Ovis aries: one gene and its partner. The protein of the gene in region 1 purifies or fractionates together with the protein of each later gene. This does not show direct contact. Links are inferred from orthologs where the notes say so. Each region holds a gene or a part of one and is shown in the gene's direction. Other genes may lie near its edges. The genes, in order: FNTB and DYRK1A.

Region 1 (4,353 bases):
TTTCATGTCATACAGCTATATCCGTGACTCTAACTCACACAGACCTACTTATTCCCAGATTTAGAATTATTCTGGCACCTCCAGGACTTCACTCAACAACAGCACTTCTAAAATGGACATGGTGATAGTGTTTACCTACCTTGGGCCTCTGGACCATTCCGGCCTCATCTTTAGACACTGAGAACAGGGGGATGGCTGGTTGTGAAATATCATACCATGGTTTCCTGGGTCCTAGACATGTGACTTGGAATTGAGTGGGAACAGAGCAAAATCCTCTGAGCTGGAAATGGATCTTGTGTCCAAGTTTATCTGGAAAGTCTGTTACCATCTTGTCGTCTCAAACCCCCAAGCCCCCACCCCTACTCTAAATAATTTAACCTCTTGGTATTATAATTTTGGAGTAGTCTTTTTGTTGTGGGTCCCTGAAAGAGGGTCTCTTCTATCGCTTGCCCAAAGGTAGCAGAGTTTTCCTAAAATCACTACTTGAACATTTAATGGAGACGTATATGATGATTAACCCCACTTAAGAGGAATTTTATTTGGAACACCTTCAGATTAAATACAAACACACGTGAGCATATTTATTGCATGTTCTTGGAACTTGCTGTTCCTTTCTCTTGTGAGGTTCTTCTTGATGTTGTTGACGTGGATGGCTCCTTGTTATCTCTCAAGTCTCATTCTCCATGTCACTTACCTGGAGAGGCTTGGCCAGACCAGCCAGTCTAATTAGTCCCCTCCTCCTTTATTTTCACAGATCCTGTTGTTTTTCCTTCATACAATTTATCACAAGTTTTCATGTATTTATTGTGTTCATTCACTTAAATTCTGTCAATTCTACCAGACTGTAGGATTCCCACGGGCAAGGGCCTTATTTGCTTCGCTCACTTTTGTATTCCTGGCACCTTGCACGGGTGCCCTGACTTCATTTAAAATTTCTAAATGAATGAGTAAATATTTCTTGGTTGTTTCACTTATACTTGTTCCTTCTACTGAGTTTTCGTTTCTGCTACTGCACTGTAACCCCAATGAGATAGGAGAAAATTATAGTGCCCCTTCCCTCCATCACTAAGTGCGGAGATGGCGATGCCTTTGTGGAGAAGCTACTTGCTGGCTTTTCCTGGGCGGCTGTCACGTACACAAAGGTGAACAATAATTCTATTCGTAATAGCATGACTGAGACAGGAGAGCTGTCAGAAATGCTTTACGAGTTACACTCATTGGGCTCTTGGGCACTCGCAACTGCAGACTACTGACATAACAATTAAGTGAGAATGTGCAGAATGTTGAAAAGAGGGGTGTGTGTGAAATGAAATTCGGACGTACACATTCTTCCCTGCCGCTAGGAAACTGAGCCTCTTGCAGCAAACCCTCTGTCCAGTTGGGGGCGGCAGCATCCCACTCCCTGAAGATGTGTAGGTGGCAGGAGCAATTCGCGTTCAGAATCTTTTGACTCTACCCGCTCACCGTAGCGCCTTAGCCCGCTCGAGTTTCAATGCGCGTTGTGGCTTGCCGAAGCTGAGCCCTATACACCGCCTGCTGCTTTCCGGATCATGGCTTCTCCGAGTTCCTTCACCTACTGTTGCCCTCCATCTTCCTCCCCTGTCTGGTCAGAGCCGCTGTACAGTCTGAGGCCAGAGCACGCGCGGGAGCGGTTGCAGGACGACTCGGTGGAAACAGTCACGTCCATAGAACAGGTGAGGTGGCTTGACTGGGTGAGGCGCCCGCGCGCGGGCTTCTGGGAGCGGGAGTCCGGTCTTCAGGGCTGCTGGGGCGCGGAACTCACCTGGGAACTACAGCTCCCAGGGTGCACCGCGGCGCTTCCCCTTTGGGAAGCTCCGGGCGCCCAGGCTTGGGCTGGGGGAGTGGAGGTTTTTTGGCCCAGGTTGGGGAGGGGTCGATGTCAAAGCTGGAGCGAGAGAACAGTACCTAAGCCTTGGGGAGCAGAGAGGATTTTGTTCCGTACCTGGAGTACTGAAGCAGCCCAAACGGATTTACAGCCCACTCCTTTCTGCCTGACATTGGGAGGTTCTCTGATGGAGAGTTCACTTTTTACAGCCTGATTGTAGTTGTGGGACAAAGAAGGGGAAGAGAATTGCCCAGACTGTGGTCATGCCGTTCTGTTGTAGGAAGGGGGAACCTTTGTAGGGCCTGATAGTGGGCTTTTGCCTAACACTCGGGAATGAATTGTCTAAGGAGATACGTGTGCTGACAGAGCAAGAGATTTTACTGAGAACGGGGTGCCTGGGTGGAGAAGCAGCAGGGTAAAGGAACCCAGGGGAACTGGTCTGCCACGTGTGGCTCACAGTTTCAGGTTTTATGGTATTGGGATTAATTACTAGGTTGTCTCTGGCCAATCATGTTGCTTGGTTCATAGCCTAACTCAGGGTCCTTTTTTGGCATGCATCTCTCAGCCAAGATGGATTCCAGGGAGAAAGACTCTGGGAGGTTGGTCTCTATCGTTGAGCCCCTCCTGAATTCTCCTGGTTAGTTTTTCTCTGAAGCACCACGTTGCTTATGGGGACCTCTTGTTGGCCAAGTTGGGTGATTTTGGTCAACACTTACCTAACTCCCCTGAGACACTTCATACTCAACATACTTATTGGGAATTGGGGCAGAGGTTTCTTTCTTCTGTAGCTACTTCCTGTTGGCAGTGGGCACCTTCTTATCTGCTGCTGCTGCTGCTAAGTCGCTTCAGTAGTGTCCGACTCTGTGCGACCCCATAGACAGCAGCCCACCAGGCTCCCCCATCCCTGGGATTCTCCAGGCAGGAACACTGGAGTGGGTTGCCATTTCCTTCTAGAGTAGAAATCTCTCTCCACCTGATCTAAATCTAGGCATTCTGTGTCTAAAACTGACTTCCACCCTTATAGTAACAATTTGGCCTGAAACTGTTGGACTCTGTCGGAGATAAACCTTGTAAGCAGATGAAACAGACAGGGGCTAAACAGGAGGCCTAATAGGATGTTTATTGCGGGGCTTGGAGGAGAGGGGGGGAAGAAAGGCAACATTTGGGGTGAGGGCTGCAGAGTGTGTGACTTTCTTCTGACTGGTAGGTGGTGAGGTATGGTGCTCCAGGAATCTTGGGCTCAGCCTGAAGTTACCATCCTCCACTTTGGGGGTGTGTGTGTGTGTGTGTGTGTGTGTGTGTGTGTGTGTGTTGTGAGGGAGGGGGGGGCAGTTTGTCATTAGAACTCAAAGATACAGTTATGCATGCTTCTGGAGTAGGAACCAGGACCCTGCCCCAAGGATGTCCCACCACTTGGCTGTTCCTCCCCTGTTTTTGCATCCTTTCCCTTCCCTGATTAGCAGCTGTTTGAATCTGCCCTTTGGAACTCAGTGAAGGTCAAGGAGGCTGAATGAAACCTATAACCTACAAACAGGAAACAGAAAGGATTTGTACTCTGTGGGAGCCCCACAGATTCCTGCTCAGTGTCAGTCCCTTCTTTGATACTTCTCAGTCTTTCAGGGAATGGGACAACAATAGCAGTGGCAAATTCCTGTTGAAATGGGGCCTAGTCTTGTCTCAGTTTAGGGACTAGACACTGAATTGGAAATGTTTCTGAGTTCTAGGTACTGGATCTGAGTCTCTTATTATTAAGATCTTAATCCTCTGTTCCACCATTTTGGTGTAACAGACTTAATTAGAAGTAATTAGAGGAGTGAAACCTGGAATAGGCAAAATAAATCTCATTCCCTGAGGTATTTAGAAGAATAAGCTTGAAAGCCTTTCTGAACCTTGCACCTTTGGGAGACTTGAAACCAGTTGTCTAATTGCACCTAAGTAAGTTTTAACTTCTGATGTAGCATTGACATAACAGGAGCTATTGGCCACTACACATATATTTCTTCTTTTTGTTAATACCTGATCTAAAGCACTTTCATTTTTTAGTTACAAGAGGATACCTTGAAGCCATAATGTTGCAGCTACCAGTCACCAGTGGACATTGTTTTGAGAAATGCCGGTGACATCCCATGTCTGACATAGCTCAGAAAACTCAAGTTCTCAGCAGTACTTGGCCTTGTCTGAAATCACGTCCATAATGCCTCCTAATATTAATAACCTTAAGTGTCTCAACCACAGCGACTCCACTTTGACTTTCAGTTTCATTTTTCTCCTTAATTGGCCAAAGCAGGTGTCTCTGATAAAAATTTTAGTGTTATCTAGGTATGAGATGATGTAAGAATTTGGGCTCATAAAATCTCTTGAAACTATAACCATCTGAAGGCTTGTTCTGTCAGTTTTTCCAGCGCACAGAGCACCTCATCCTTGATCTCCACACTGAACTCCTTTCGGGGATGTGTTGAAGGTCAGTGGCCACAGTACCCAGTGATCTCTTTGTTGCAGAGTCAGAT
Region 2 (3,812 bases), on another chromosome or scaffold:
TTTCCAAATTTGTTGGCATATTGAGTGCAGCACTTTCACAGCATCATCTTTTAGGATTTGAAATAGCTCAACAGAAATTCCATCACCTCCATTAGCTTTGTTCGTGGTGATGCTTCCTAAGGCCCACTTGATTTCACATTCCAGAATGTCTGGTTTGTGATTATCTGGGTCGTGAAGATCTTTTTTTGTATAGTTCTTCTGTGTATTCTTGCCACCTCTTCTTAATAGCTTCTGCTTCTGTTAGGTCCATACCATTTCTATCCTTCATTGAGCCCATCTTTCCATGAAATGTTCCCTTGGTATCTCTCGTTTTCTTGAAGAGATCTCTAGTCTTTCCCATTATATTGTTTTCCTCTGTATCTTTGCACTGATCGCTGAGGAAGCCTTTCTTATCTCTCCTTGCTATTCTTTGGAACTCTGCACTCAAATGGGTAAAATTTCATTTTCTCCTTTGCTTTTCTCTGCTATTCTTTTCATAGCTATTTGTAAGGGCTCCTCAGACAGCCCTTTTGCTTTTTTGCATTTCTTTTTCTTGGGGATGATCTTGATCCCTGTCTTCCTGTACAGTGTCATGAACCTCCGTCCATAGTTCATCAGGCTCCCTATCAGATCTAATCCCGTGAGTTTCACTTCCACTGTATAATCATAATATCATGTGGTAGTTCTGTTTTTAATTTTTTGAAGAACCTCCTCCCTACTGTTTTCCATATAATGGTTGTACTACCATATATTCCCATCAGCAGTGTGTGAGGGTTTCCTTTTTTCTGCATCCTCACCAGCAGTTGTCCTTTGTTGTCTTTTTGAGAGTGATGTCTCATTGTGGTTTGGGTTTGCATTTTCCAAGTGACAAATGATGTTGAGTTGCTTTCCTTGTGCATGGTGGCCATCTTTGTGTCTTCTTTGGAAACGTGTAGTCGGATCTCCTGGCCGTTTTTAAGTCAGATTATTTGGGTTTTTACTAATGAGTTTTATCAGTTCTTTTTATGCTTGGGATATTAGCCTCTTATCAGATATGTGGTTGACAAATGTTTTCTCTCATTCAGTAGGTTGCCTTTTTGTTTTGTTGATGGTTTCCTTTACTGTACAGTAGGTTTTTAGTATAATATAGTCTCATTTGTTTATTTTTGCTTTTGTTGCTTTTGCTTTGGTGTCAGATTGAAAAAATCATCGCCAGGGCTTATTCCAGACTGTTTCCTTCTAGGAGTTTTATGGCTTCAAGTCTTTAATCCATGTTGAGTTCATTTGGGGTTTGGTGTAAAATGGTGGTTGAGTTTCATTCTTTTGTATCTGGCTGTCTAGTTTTCCTGACACCATTTAAATTAATTAACTAATTTCTCCTCTGGGTTGCGCACAGGCTCTCTGTGGTCTCCACGAGTAGAGCTGCTCTTTACTGAGCTGTGTGGGCTTCGCTGTTGCGCACAGGCTCGCTCTGGTCTCTGCGAGTGGGGCTGCTCTTTGCTGAGCTGTGTGGGCCTCTCTTGTGGCAGCCTCTCGGTGCAGAGCGTGGCCTGCAGTATTTGTGGTGCCCAGTCTTCGTTTCCCCGTGGCCTCGGGCGTTTTCCTGGGCAGGGATCAGACCTGTGTTCCTGGCGTTGGCATGTGGATTCTTAACTGCTGGACCACTGGGAAGTCTCACGACACCATTTATTGAAGGGAATAGCCTTTCTCCATCATATATGTTTGGTTCTTTCTCACAAATTAATCGACTGTATACACATAGGTTTATTTCTGGGCTCCCTCGTCTGTTCCGTTGATCTGTGTGCTGGTTTTTATGCTGGTACCTTGCTGTATTTGGTTACTGTCGCTTTGTAGTATAGTTCTGTATCAAGGAGTGTGATGCTTCCAGCTTTTTCTTCCTCAGGGTTGCTTTGACTACTTGGATATTTTTTGTGGATTACAAATTTTAGGATTTTGTTCTATTTTTTTGAAAAAAATGCCATTGGATTTTTAATTTTGATAGGGATAGCATTGAATCTGTAGATTGCGTTCAGTAGTTTGGACACTTTAACGGCACTGATTCCCTCTCTTACAGTCGGTGAGCGTGGACAGTCTTCCCGTCGCCTTGGGTCTGCCATGTCTCTTCCTAGTGTCCTTTTTCCATATAAAGCTCTTTCTCCTCCTTGGTTAAATTTATTTTTTGCTTATTTTGTTCTTTTTGATGCCTTTGTAAATGGGATTGTTTTCTTTTTCTGATATTTTATTTTATTGTTAGTATATAGAAATGCAATAGGTTTTTGTGTAATTGACTTTGTGTCCTGTAACTCTACTGAATTTATTATCTCCATAAGTTCCTTATGGAGTCGTCAGGGTTTTCCATATATAATGTTGCACCATGTGTATGCAGCAGCCAGGTTACTTCTTTATTTCCAATTTGGTTGCTTTTTATTTCTTTTTCATGCTCAATAATCTGGATATCTGTTTTAAAAAGATTATTCTTGTGATTTGGAGAGTGGTTCGGTAAATGGCAAGGGTGGAAGATGGGAGTTGATTTAGGAGGCTGTTGTGTTAGTCTAGGCAAGATGGTAGTGACCTCGGATAAAGTAATGAAGAGATGCCAGATGTGAGTTCTTATTGGAGGTGGCTTTAGTAGTACTCACTGATTGTTTGAGTGGTTAGGCAGCTAAATGCATAGTAGTGGTTCAGTTAAAACAGGAAAGATAGAGAGGAGGGGCTTTAGGGTAAAGAATGTCTTTTGGACTGATCAGAAATAACCAGGTTTACTCTCTGGCCTTTTCCAGAAGAAGTTTGCTGACCCCTGGCATAAACAGTGCTCCCAAGGAAGGAAAGTGGCCAATAAAACATACGACCCTATTTTTGGGTATAACTTGATAAAAACACTCTTGAAACATATTTGCAAGTTTGTGTTAGAGAGCTGTCTAAAACATTAAAATTTCAAACCCCTCTCTCTAATGTAAATGCTAATGTAGCTTTTAATTGAAGATTAAAGCTTGGAAACGTCCTGAATAAATCTTTTTACAATCTGCTCTTCCAGGTGCGTCAGCAGTTTCCTGCTCCCCTTGGTTGGTCAGGCACTGAAGCTCCTACACAAGTCACTGTTGAAACTCATCCCGTTCAAGAAACCACCTTTCATGTAGCCCCTCAGCAGAATGCATTGCATCACCACCACGGAAACAGTTCCCATCACCACCACCACCACCACCACCACCACCACCACCACGGACAGCAAGCCTTGGGCAACCGGACCAGGCCAAGGGTCTACAATTCTCCAACAAATAGCTCCTCTACCCAGGATTCTATGGAGGTTGGCCACAGTCACCACTCCATGACATCCCTGTCTTCCTCAACCACTTCTTCCTCTACATCTTCCTCCTCTACTGGTAATCAAGGCAACCAGGCCTACCAGAACCGCCCAGTGGCTGCTAACACCTTGGACTTTGGACAGAACGGAGCTATGGACGTTAATTTAACCGTCTACTCCAATCCCCGCCAAGAGACTGGCATAGCTGGACATCCAACATACCAATTTTCTGCTAACACAGGTCCTGCACATTACATGACTGAAGGACATCTGACAATGCGGCAAGGGGCTGATAGGGAAGAGTCCCCCATGACGGGAGTGTGTGTGCAGCAGAGTCCTGTAGCTAGCTCGTGACTACATTGAAACTTGAGTTTGTTTCTTGTGTGTTTTTATAGAAGTGGTGTTTTTTTCCAAAAAAAAAAAACAAAGTGCAAAGCTGCTTGAATCAGAAGGAGATTAACACACTGAACAGCTACAGGAGGGCAAAGCTGACTTTTTTTTTTTTTTTAACTTGAAAAGATTGCAAAGGGACAATGAAGTTTTTAAAAGAGCC

The links.
Region 2: the proteins of FNTB (region 1) and DYRK1A purify together in Homo sapiens (affinity purification with mass spectrometry; 3 studies listed by BioGRID, counting the BioPlex papers as one). This does not show direct contact. The link is inferred for Ovis aries from reciprocal best matches to the Homo sapiens genes FNTB and DYRK1A.

Annotation. Positions count from the first base shown.
Region 1 is NC_056060.1:75,179,881-75,184,233, forward strand, and holds the start of FNTB (protein farnesyltransferase subunit beta), read left to right. Parts: upstream 1-1,467; 5' UTR 1,468-1,550; coding exon 1,551-1,694; intron 1,695-4,353. UniProt on the Homo sapiens protein: Essential subunit of the farnesyltransferase complex. Catalyzes the transfer of a farnesyl moiety from farnesyl diphosphate to a cysteine at the fourth position from the C-terminus of several proteins having the C-terminal sequence Cys-aliphatic-aliphatic-X.
Region 2 is NC_056054.1:270,310,437-270,314,248, forward strand, and holds part of DYRK1A (dual specificity tyrosine-phosphorylation-regulated kinase 1A), read left to right. Parts: intron 1-2,992; coding exon 2,993-3,613; 3' UTR 3,614-3,812. UniProt on the Homo sapiens protein: Dual-specificity kinase which possesses both serine/threonine and tyrosine kinase activities. Exhibits a substrate preference for proline at position P+1 and arginine at position P-3.